3 linked regions of the Mus musculus genome follow. Each later gene encodes a partner of the first gene's protein in a complex. Links are inferred from orthologs where the notes say so. Each region holds a gene or a part of one and is shown in the gene's direction. Other genes may lie near its edges.

What was found.
Region 2: Mbtd1 (region 1) and Morf4l2 share a complex: the UniProt entries of both Homo sapiens proteins name them as parts of the nuA4 histone acetyltransferase complex. The link is inferred for Mus musculus from reciprocal best matches to the Homo sapiens genes MBTD1 and MORF4L2.
Region 3: Mbtd1 (region 1) and Meaf6 share a complex: the UniProt entries of both Homo sapiens proteins name them as parts of the nuA4 histone acetyltransferase complex. The link is inferred for Mus musculus from reciprocal best matches to the Homo sapiens genes MBTD1 and MEAF6.

Annotation. Positions count from the first base shown.
Region 1 is NC_000077.6:93,927,671-93,931,170, forward strand, and holds part of Mbtd1 (MBT domain-containing protein 1), read left to right. Parts: intron 1-1,943; coding exon 1,944-2,091; intron 2,092-3,500. UniProt on the Homo sapiens protein: Chromatin reader component of the NuA4 histone acetyltransferase complex, a multiprotein complex involved in transcriptional activation of select genes principally by acetylation of nucleosomal histones H4 and H2A.
Region 2 is NC_000086.7:136,738,553-136,742,717, reverse strand, and holds the start of Morf4l2 (mortality factor 4-like protein 2), read left to right. Parts: upstream 1-1,365; 5' UTR 1,366-1,508; intron 1,509-1,562; exon of another isoform or gene 1,563-1,772; intron 1,773-2,823; 5' UTR 2,824-2,913; intron 2,914-4,165. UniProt on the Homo sapiens protein: Component of the NuA4 histone acetyltransferase complex which is involved in transcriptional activation of select genes principally by acetylation of nucleosomal histone H4 and H2A.
Region 3 is NC_000070.6:125,083,939-125,087,960, forward strand, and holds the start of Meaf6 (chromatin modification-related protein MEAF6), read left to right. Parts: upstream 1-1,222; 5' UTR 1,223-1,238; coding exon 1,239-1,328; intron 1,329-2,206; coding exon 2,207-2,322; intron 2,323-4,022.

The DNA of each region.
Region 1 (3,500 bases):
TCTTGCAAGAGGATCTGGGTTTTGGTTTACACCACCCACAGTGACTCACAACCATCTGTAACCCTAGTTCCAGGCACTCTGATGCCATTTTCTGACATGCATGAGCACCAGGGACACATGCTACACAGACATACATACAGGCAAAATAACCATATATATCTTTTTTTTTTTAATTTAATGAGTACTTTAAAATTTTTTTTACAAAAACAAGATCCAGAATGTTTGAGATAAGAGTCATGAGTGATATTTTCTAAAAGACTAAAGAAGGAGCTGTTGACTTGAGGCAGTGACTAGCTCTTAGAGAATGTGTACAGCATGCAGATCAAATGGATACTGAGGCTCTGCAAGGAGGGGAAACTCCCCTTAGTCTTGAAGTTGATTGTGTCTGAGGTCATTGAAACAAAGCAAAGAGCTAAAATCAGAAATCTAAGGGTTGGAGGTAAAAAGCCAATACAGGGAATAATGGAGAAGTGACTATTAATCAATAGACTAGAACATGACAGTCTGGGAGTGTGAAAGGACAAAAAAGTAAAGTCACTAATCAAATGTCATATAAAATAAGATTTAAGAGCAGGCATAGATAGTAGTGAATGCTTTTAATCTCAGCATTCAGGAGGTGGAGGCTGCAAATCTCTGAATTTGATGCCAACCAGACTACAAAGTGCATTCCTTGCCAGCCAGGGCTACATAGTGAGATTTTGTCTCACTAAATAAGGTTATATTTGAGGAGGTTAGTATTTTGGAAAACAGACCACTGAATTGAGAAAACAAGGTTGTTGGTGAATTTTGCAGGCTAAATAAGGATTAAAAAGGGACAACAAATTGTGCAATATATATACCTTGAACCAGGTCTCAGAGTGTGGTCTACAGACTCCGCTGCAGTAATACCCTTATGCCTTTTGTGTTTTGAGCCTGCTTCAGGTTTTTTGTTTTGTTGTTGTTGTTTGCTTTGCTTTTTTTCTTTCTGGGTTGTTGGACAGGGTATAAAATTCTTTCAGTGTAATGGAATTGGAAAATATTAAGGGTGTAAAACATGTGTTTGGAAAAGGTCTTGTGATAATTGAACAAGATTTAGAAGTATAAAAGTAAAAAAAAGTGTTAAAAATAAATGTGGGGAAAATTAGACATGGTTCTACAAGTCTGTAATTACAGGCTTGAGAATTTGGAGCAAGAGGATTTCAAGTTCAAGAGGTAGTACTGGCAAGCAGGAATGCTGCTTATTAATTGGCGCCTAAGGCATGGTTACAGAGTTAAGAGGACTCTTGGTTGGGCCCAATCAGTCGTAGTGTCGTAGAAGAATATGGTAAAAGACAGCCAAGTTGAAGCTTGGAGAAGGTGGGGGATTGGCAAAAGGTTTGGTTTTTGTTTGTTTGTTTTATCTATGTAAAAAATCAGAAGAGAAGGAAAACATGTTAGGACTAACAACCTGACACTTAACCACTAGATGGTTATTTTTATCCTGGTTTTGTGTGTGTGTGTGTGTGTGTGTGTGTGTGTGTGTGTGTGTGTAGAAATCAAAGAGCAACTTGAAATAGTGGGATATCTTTACTATGTGAGTCCTGTCAATTCAACTCTGGTCATCAGACTTTGGCAGTCAAGCATTTCACACACTGGGCACTAGGTGGCTTAATCATAAAGTATTTTAGTCAGTAATTGGCCAAAGACATTCATTTTTCCAAGCATCTTAAGTCATCCCTTTGTAAACTTTGCTTTTCTGAAGTCAATTCTGTATGATTTTTGTTTGTTTAGTTTCTGATATTCATTAACAATCTATATCAGCTTCTTGTTATTGTATCTCTTTACTTAACATCCAGTGAGAAAGTGTTTTTTACTTGTAAAGCATCTTCATGTAATAGGTTTTCATTTTAGAATGTTGTTTAAAATATCATTTTTATAATAGTGGTATACATGTTCAAGTATTTGGGATTCTCTTGATTTCAAAGGTGCTGGCTGATGGATTCCTGATGATTGGGATTGATGGCTCAGAAGCAGCAGATGGATCTGACTGGTTCTGTTATCATGCAACCTCTCCTTCCATTTTCCCTGTGGGTTTCTGTGAAATTAACATGATAGAACTGACTCCACCCAGAGGTACTCCATTCTGGTATAAACACTCAGTTTCTAGCCTTGCTTTGTTTTTGTGTGTTAATCTGCTTACATTTAACATAGCCCTAATCTTAGTTGTTGTACGTGTATTTATACACAGTATGTATGAGTATGTATAAGTAGACTAAAACATACAAGAGCTGTGAGATATTCTGAAGCCAAGCCTGGTAGTACATGCCTGAAATCCCAGCACTTGGGAGCAAAGCCAGGATGATCGACTACAAGTTGGAAACTTGCCTATTCTATATAGTGAGTACAGGCCAGTCAGGGCTATACAACAAGACCCTGTCTCAATGTTAATACATTAAAGTAAAAATACAATCTTTGGGTGCTAGAGAGATGGCTCAGGGGTTAAGAGCACTGACTATTCTTCCAGAGGACCAGGGTTCAAATCCCAGCACCCACATGGCAGCTCACATATGTCTGTAACTCCAGGATCTGACATTCTCACACAGAAATACAGGCAAAACACCAATACACATAAAATAAAAAGTTTTAAAACCCACAACCTTTGTATTCTAGTTTATTTTAATAAGTTACAATGGAAGTTTTTCCTGAATTTGTGTCAATATATATAGACCCTCTAATACAGTGATCTCAGTACGTTCCTATATACATTTTTGTTTGTTTGTTTGTTTGTTTGTTTGTTTTATTTGGGGTTTTTTTGTTTGTTTGTTTTTTGGTTTTGGTATGGGTGTTTTGCCTGTGTGTATGGTCTGTACCATATGTATAGTCTGGGTGCCTGGTGCCTGAGGAGCCAAGAAGAGAGCATCAGAGCCCTGGAAACGCAGGTGCTAGAAAATGAGCCCTGTTTTTCTGGAAGAGCAGCCACTGGTCTTAGCTCCCACATGAACTTTTTAGTATTTTAGGTATTAAATAGTATTTTAAGTGTCCACTTAATGGATACTTAGCCTTCAAAGATTAAAAAAAAGGCTCTCTCTTTTTAGATTATCATATGCCTTTTAAAAATTGGGGGGGCGGGGGTGGTTAGGAGGTTTTGGTTTGGTTTGGTTTTTAGTTTTTCAAGACAGGGTTTTGAGACAGCCCTTGTTGTCCTGGAACTCACTCTGTAGACCAGGCTGGACTTGAATTCAGAAATCTGCCTGCCTCTGCCTCCCAAGTGCTGGGATTAAAGGCGTGCGCCACCACCACCCAGCTTGTTTGTTTTGTTAAGATATGATTTCCGTATTCTTGATAATCTGAAACTTATTATATAGATCATACATATTTTCCTGCCTCTGCCTCCAGAGTGCTGGGATTAAAGGTGTGCACAACTACACCCAGCTATCCATCTTTTAAAAGAAAGTTATTTTTTAAAAAAGAAAGTTATGTTTTTAGCAACTCCCATGATTTAACCACTGACCTTTAATACCTTTACCTTGGGTTTTTCTCTA
Region 2 (4,165 bases), on another chromosome or scaffold:
CTGGTGAGGGGGCATAAGGGAGATTCGCAGTAAATTTGGTGAAGGGCAAAGGGGAGGCCTTGGGGACAGAGAGGAGGGGGTGTACAACTGGAAACTTGAAAGAAACGCCCTTTTACGTTACTAATATAGTTCTGAATCTTAACCATGGAAGAAGTTTATTTTGGTGGACTATAATGTGGGAATAATGATCATCTCTAGGGTCTAAAATTAAATCGGACTGGGTGGAGTGGCGCATGCTTTTAATCCCAGCGCTCGAAGGCCGTGAAGGGACAGGTGGATCTCCGAGTTCCAGGCCAGCCAGGGCTACCTAGTTACAACAGGCCTCAAAAACAAACAAAAAAACGAAAAAAGGCAAAGAAAAGAAAGGAATTTGATTAAATCGGCAGGCCTTTTCTTACAGAAGCCCTTTCCTTTAGATACTAGCACTGTCCTAGTTATTCTCAGTTTTATTAATGCAGTTTGCAAACATAAAAAAGGCAGAAAAATCCACCAAAATGAGGGACCTCGCCTACGCTCACGCGCGCGCGCGCACACACACACACACACACACACACACACACACTCACACACGGCCCCTCCCGTCCCCACCAGGGCAGCACGCCTGCGCACACCCATCATCGCCAGCGCCACGAGGGCGGCTGTGCGCCCACACCCACACTCCACAGCCACGCGAGCCTGCCTGCGCCCGCGTGCGCGCAGACACCCCGTTTCTCCAAAGCATCCAGGCATCCGCCCAGTGGCACTCACCACCCTCACACGCCTCACACCTCAAAACCTTCACCATTCCTTTGCCTTTGGTTTTTTTGGGGGGGCGTTGGTGTTTTTTTTTCCTCTCTCCCCAGGTCCGCGAGTTGCGCAACAGGCTCGGGGGCGTGGCCCCGGGTCTGCCCTCGCTCTTCCCACTCGCGGGAACCTTAGCTCATTTCCGCCTAGCCTGTTTCCGCCAGCCACGTCGGCACTTCCTTTCCCAGCGGGGCGGGGGCGGGGGAGGGGAGCGGACCCACAAACCCATAATGCCTCCCTGCAGGAGAGAAGGCGAGCGCGAGGGGGGGAAAAAAAAAACCCACGGTCAGGGGAACTCTGGGTCGTGAAGACGGGCCACGTGAACGCGCTGCCCTATAGACTTCTGACCCAACGGCTGGAGCGCACTTGGAGGGCGGGCTAAGATCCTAAAAGAACCATCGCCATTGGCGGGAGCCCTCACTGAAGAAGGATGCTAATTGGTTTGCAGTCGGCCCTAAGCATGAAGAAGCAGGTTGCTAGCACCCGCCTTTACTGCGGCTGAGTGTCACTGCTGACGTGGGGGCGGCTGTCCAATCATCTGGGTATGGAACATTCTAAAACTCAGACAAGACGGCTAGGATTGGCTGATGGGCTAAGCCCGCCTCCAGGGTGACGTGTCTGCCTATGGATATCAGTTGCCAGAGAAACCTGGCTTTACTATGGCGGTTGGAGGAGCAGCAGTGATCACACGTCGGCTGCTGGAGAGAGCTGGATTCTCGTTTCAGGTTTCGGGGTGGGGGTGGGGAGGAAGGGTAGATGATTTCCTCTTTTCTTCTTGACTTATGGATAGGATTAACTCGTGCCTTCTCATTCAGGAAAAGCGGAATTCGTATTCCTGCTCGCCAACGCCCAGCTTGGGCAAGGCTCTTTTCTGTGTCTCGGTTTCCATGTTTGTAAAATGGTAATAGTAGCTATCTCAGACGCGGATTCAGATGTGCCTAGTAAAATAGTGCGTGTGAGGCATTCGGTGTGAAGCCTGTCCCCGAAAGGTAGTAGCAATTGTTACTAAAGATATTTCTAGAGGCGATGAAAAATTTTAAATTACGCAAATTTGCTCGATATCGTATCTTTTTCTGTACATCATCCTCTTTCTTAGAAGAAATTATGACGACAGGCATTTATTAAGCCTTCCTGATAAAAATAATTGCTAGCTCATAATTGCTAATAGAATGTGGGGGTCGGAATTTTCCCACATTAAGTCAAAAAGAAAAAGGATGTAGGGGGGGAAAGCGATTGAGAACGACCTCCTGAAGCACATGCGAGGAGTAGGCCTTGTTTGAATCCTGATTCGAGCACACCAATTGTAAAATTTTCTTGAAGACGTATCGGGGATTTTTAAATGCAGGATTAATATTCTTCAATGAAATCGGTGTCAAATTATTAATTTTTTTAATGCTTATGGTGGCGATGTGGTTCTGTTTTCAGAATGCTTTATTTTGTGGAAAGAAATAGAAATGCTTAGGGATTAAATGATGTCAGAAAATGGCTTCAAAATCCATGGATGACTAGGGTCTGCTTCAGGATAATTTCAGCGATAGACAGCGAGGGGAGGGGTATCATCAGGACCCTAGATTAATCATTTAAAGTGAGGGGTGGGCAGATGGGGTTTCCTGGATTTGTCTTTTTTTCCCATGGTATATATTTGAAATATTCTGGAATTCTGAAGTCATTTTTTTCCCGATAGCTTAAAAAACCGTGGGGGGGGGAGCAGTGGGTGGGGTTACAGATGAAACAAGATGGCCTTCAGTTGGTAATTGTTGGAGCTGGATGAAGGATTCGCAGCCGTTTGTACTGCTGTTCTTTTACAATTTTATTTATTTCACATTATCCTTAATAGAAATTAATTAATTTTTTTCCAAAATTGATAAACATACAAGAAAGTACATTTATCTGAAAATAAAACTACAAGAAAAATAGAATTTCTACATTATCAGCTTTGATGTCCTTTGTGTGAGATAAAATTTTATTTACTGATGGAAAGGAAAGTCACCATCTCATATCTTTTTATGTCCTTTTCCATCTCTTTGTTTGACCTTCTAGGTCATCATCAGAAAAGCTAAGTTTGCTATACAGTAAGGATCAGGAGATCTGACCCTGGTTGCAGAACCATTCCTGGTTGCAGAATACAGGGTAAGTGCCTTCCTTCTGGCCTCAGTTTACAGACCAGCTATATCACAACCTTCTTAGATGTGTAGCAGTATTTTGAAGATTAATAAGCTGCCATCTGAGAAAGTGCTTTAAATTCTGAAAAGGGAAGGATAAACAATATAGTCATGCGTAATCTTATTCTCTTAATTAAAAATTAGTGCTCTATGAAGGCTTCACACTTCCAAATATTACATTATTTTTCTCTACAGCAAATACAGATTTGATGGATTTGATTGCTGGCTCTTCGACTTTCTGTGTAATTCTGAGCAAGAAACTTCCTTTGTTCCAAGATGTCTTCATAAAAGTATTTCCTGTAATAATACTTATATGGCTTTAATAGTCATGAAACATTTTATGTATATATAAAAGCACATTTTTGTAGAGAAATAAATAATATTTTCTTGGAATTATTTTTTTAATTAATATTGTTGGTTTCTCTCATTTTCCAGAAGCAGCCATTAACTACTAGGACTGACTTCTGAAATTAAGACTTCTGGTTTTTCCAATCAATCTTTAAAAAATAGCTTTAAGGCTATTTCCTTATGAGGAAATTTCCAAGAACTATAATTTTAGCTACCATATCCAGCATGCTAAGCAATCTTTATGTAATTTTCCTCCTTTGTTCAGACTGGAGACCATCAGTTGGGTTGCGAGTGTAGCCCAGTTGGTAAAGTTGCTTCCCCAGCATACATGGAGCTCCAGGTTTGAATCACCAGCACTGCCCAGACCAGGCCCAGACAGTGGCACATGCTTACAATCTATTAGAGGATAGAGGCAGGGGGGTCAGAAGGTCAAGGTTGACCTCAGCTATCTAGGAAGTTTGCATCTAGCCTGGGATATGAGATCTTTCCTCAATGTTCATTTTTTTAGACATGTAGAATGTTCCAGTATCCATATGAGAAAGCTGATATGTACTTGATTTTAGGCAGAGACCAAGAGATGAAAACATGGTCTAATTAATGTGCCCCCCTCACTTTTAAAGGGCTTGTGACACACACAAAAGTACAATTGGAGTCTGGTTACATGAACCTATGAAAGGAAGGGGTGTGCCTCAGTCTCTTCACAGCGACATTTTTAAAGGAATTCTATAATTGCCTTAATTTCTCTCCTTTGTAAGGACTGTGTTTAAGGGGAAGGCAGTTTCCTGGCAGAGAGGCAATTTAGAGAATAAGTGAGAGTTGATCCATAGTAGATCTATAGATACTGGCAAAGCAGAGGCCAGAGAGATCTGAAA
Region 3 (4,022 bases), on another chromosome or scaffold:
AGGCTAGCCTCAAATTCTCTGTGTAGTTGAGGCTCATCTTGATTTTTTCCCCCTCAAAACAGCTGTCCTGTCTGTCTTCGAGTCCCCTGAGTGCTGGGAATAAAGACATGTGCCACCATGCCTGGCCCTGGGAGGTTCTTCTGTGGGCCAGGCTGGCAGGAAAGGAAGAGATGCTAGACTCAAATTCAGGGATTTGTGCAAGCTTGGGCTTAGGCAGATATTTTACCAACTGAGTTTCATCTACAGCCTTGACTTTCTTTTTTGGGGGGTGGTGGTGAAACTGTCTTATATAGTCTTACTGGCCCAAATACTATGTAGTACCTTGACCTTCCTGCTTCTTTTACCGCGGCCTCTTGGGTGCTAGAATTATAGGCATGTACTACTGGAGAGGAACAAGAGATTAGTGAAGAGGTTTGTGAGAGAGAAAATTAGGCAAGAGGAGTTTTAGAAAATTGAGAATTTCTCATACCTGTTGAACAATATACATCTAGGGCATAGAAACCCAAGGACATCCACCCATGGGGGCAAAGAACGCCACCTAAACTACGAGTGACGTTGCTGAGCACTGAGAATGCAGAGGTGGGCTCAGGGTGTACCTGTAGAGTGCTTGCTTCGTCTGTCCTGAGATCCATCCCCAGCACCTATTAACAGCGGGCATGCTCAACACATGGAATCCCAGCAGTGGGAAGGCAGAGGCAGGACGATAAACTCACGGTCTGTTTCTGTTCAATACCAGCCTGGATACAGTTCTGGATCTGAAGATAGAAGCTAATTCTTTCATAATCCTTCCCCTCCGGCAAACCACGTACAACAGGAGATCTGCTTGCCTGTGCTAAACCCAGCAAGATGTTGGTTTGGGGATCTTCTCTGCAACCCGGTTGGTGGGCGGAACCTTGCTCAGGTTTTCCACCTGCAGTTGGGTGGTGTTGCAAGGACCTCGTCTGCCGGGAGACATATGGAATACTCAACAGGCCTATGCTGCAGCTGGGTTCTCGATGTAGTGAATGTCTGTGGGTGTCTGTTAAGCTCAGAGGCCCACAGTGGAGCAGCAAGGAAGGTCCCACACGTACAAGCGCCTCTCCGCGCCGGCTTTCGCGCGCTGAGCCGGCCAGCTTCCCCGGAAGCCGCGCGCGCAGGCGCGGTGTGGGGGGTCGCGCCCCCTGGCGGCCAGCGGCGACAGTGCGCAGGGTCCGCCTACTGGTCGCGCGCCGCCGCCTCCGCCGCCGCTTGAGCCCAACATGGCGATGCACAACAAGACGGCGCCGCCGCAGATCCCAGACACCCGGCGGGAGCTGGCCGAGCTGGTTAAGCGGAAGCAGGAGCTGGCGGTGAGTGGCCGAGGCCTGGACGCCGTCCCCACTTGGCCTCGCAGGCAGCTCCGGAGGCGAGGACGGCGGGCAGCCAGGGTCTGGGCGCTCTGGGCGGCCGGGCGCGGCGCGGTTCCCTGCGGCGGCGCGGTTCCCGGCCTGCGCTCAGTGGGGCGGGGCGGGGCGGTGAGGGCGCGGGAAGGGCGAGAGGCAGGAGGCGGGGACGACGCTCAGGTCGGGTTAGCGGTTGGAAAGGAGGCGGCTAGACCCCGGCCTGGAGAAGATGCACGATGGATTCCATGGGCGGCGCGTTTCAATGGCCGGGGAATGTGGTGTATTTGAGGATGCCAAGGAACGGGGCTGGCGGGAGACCCAAGACGCAGCCTAGGGAATTTGGATTGGTGACGCGCACCAGGAGCCGCCGGCACCCTGCTGACTGCCCTGTAGGCTCCCGCCTTTTACGGCGAGCATCCGGGAGGCAAAGCTCACCTGAAGCTGCCCTTCCAGGTTTCCATAGCAACCGGCATCCACTGCGGGCGGCCCTTCCAGAGCTAGCAGGGAGGAAGCAGTTGATGTAGAAGAGATGCTTTTGAAAAGCTGTTCACCCTTCTCGCTGCTGGTAGCAACACATTTAGTGAGTGAGAATGGAGACAGCTCACGGTCTGTCTCATCCCTGCTCGTGACAGCTAGGTTTTGCCTCTGAAGTAGATGCAAAATCTTGCATGTGTGTGCATTTTCTGAGGATAGACTATACATTTCATTCTATTTATAAAGGGGTCCATCACCCCTACACTTCCACAGAAATGGTTCATTGTGGGTAAGCTTGACTTTACAAGTCTGTGACGGAATTTCAGTTTGCTTAATGCTTGTTTTTCCCTGTCCCTGTTTTCATCACCTAGGAAACACTTGCAAACTTGGAGAGACAGATATATGCTTTTGAAGGAAGCTACCTGGAAGACACTCAGATGTATGGCAATATTATCCGTGGCTGGGATCGGTATTTGACCAATCAAAAGTGAGTGTCAAAATCTAGTAGTATTAGCTGAGCACTGGTGGTGCACGCCTTTAATCCCAGCACTTGGGAAGCAGAGGCAGGTAGATTTCTGAGTTCGAGGCCAGCCTGGTCAACAGAGTAAGTTCCAGGACAGCCAGGGCTATACAGAGAAACCCTGTCTGGAAGAAAAAAAAATCTAATAGTATCTCTCCATTTTATCCTCTACTAATATTTGGCTGCAGGATTTTTGTTTTGATTTAAAACATGGTCTTACTATGTAGCCCTGGTTAGCCTGGAACTCACTAAGTAAAGCAGGCTGGCCTCGGATTCACAGATCACATAGCTCTTTCTCCCTCTGACTTCTGACTGATAGATTTAAAGGTATGGACTGTCATGTCCAGCTTGGGACATTTGCTTTTGGCATTTACTCTGCAAGGAGATGGTAGAGCCGTAGTGTGGAATGGGGTCTAAGCTTGAACTTGTACTCTGACGGCTCACGGAGAAACCTTGGGGAAGCCAGTATTTGTGATGAAAGAAAATAGGGCCCATGGTGCAGGGATGTGTGGGTGTAAGTGAAGTACAGCCTGTGACCGAACTGTCTTCCACATTTTCATCAGCCACGCTGTGCCATTACGATCTTTGTTCTACCTCCAAGTTCATTGTTACCACTGTCAGCTCAGTCATGCGATTGTATAAAAATGCCTACGCTTGTGAGGAATTTTTCAAATCTGTAGGAAAACTGAGATGAGAATGTGCATGACCAGTTAGTGTTTTTCCCATGTATTCATGAGTTGCTAACTCACTGTGGGTGCATGCTCTCTCTGAAGTACGAAAACTTCTCTGTGTGCTTAAGAACCTTTTGTTTGGAAATAATTTACAGATGGCGATAGAAAGCTGTACAAACAATAGACATGGCTTGTGTGTGCTTACGTAGTTTTCTCTGATGGTTACGTTTTACGTAACTATAGAGTATCATCAAAATCAGGAAATCAAGATTGGCTGTGTGGGGGTGGGGGTGGGGGTGGGTATGGCATTTTAACGTATGTGTATAACTACAGGATGTGAAACCAGGCCCAGGAGATATTGCTCGGTGAGTAAAGGCGCTTGGTGTACAAGCCTGATGACCGGAGCTCAGTTCCCAGAACCTGTGTTAAAAGGCACAACTGGCAACAGGAGAGATGGCTCAGCAGTTAAGAGCACACACTGCTCTGGCAGAGGACAGGAGTTCGACTCCCAGCATCACTGTTAGGTGCCTTACAGCTACCTGTAACGGAGCCCCAGGGGATTAGACTCTGTCTACTGAACTTTTGGACCATCCCCCACCCCCACCCCCACCCCTGCCATTTAACACACATGTGTAAATGCACGTCTGGAATTTTAGCATATGTGGTGGGATTTGGGGACAGGAGAATCGCTCACTTGGGAAGTTTGCAGGACAGCCTGAACTATGTAGTGCTGTCCAAATAACCAGATTGCCTCTGTCTCAACAAGGTAGAAAGCAAGGGCCACTGGTGGAAAGCTGCCCTCTGATTAGTGTGTGTATAAAGATGCAGACCCATTCCGCCGTCACAGGGTCTCCTCCCTGCTCCTCCTCTGTGGTTACATTGCTGTTTGCCCGTGCTTTCTCTCCCTGCTAACCATTGAAGAGTTAGGCGCTTACACCACGAATCTCTGCCTCTAAATATATTATCAGTTACTTCCTGAGAAGAGCAAGGCATCTC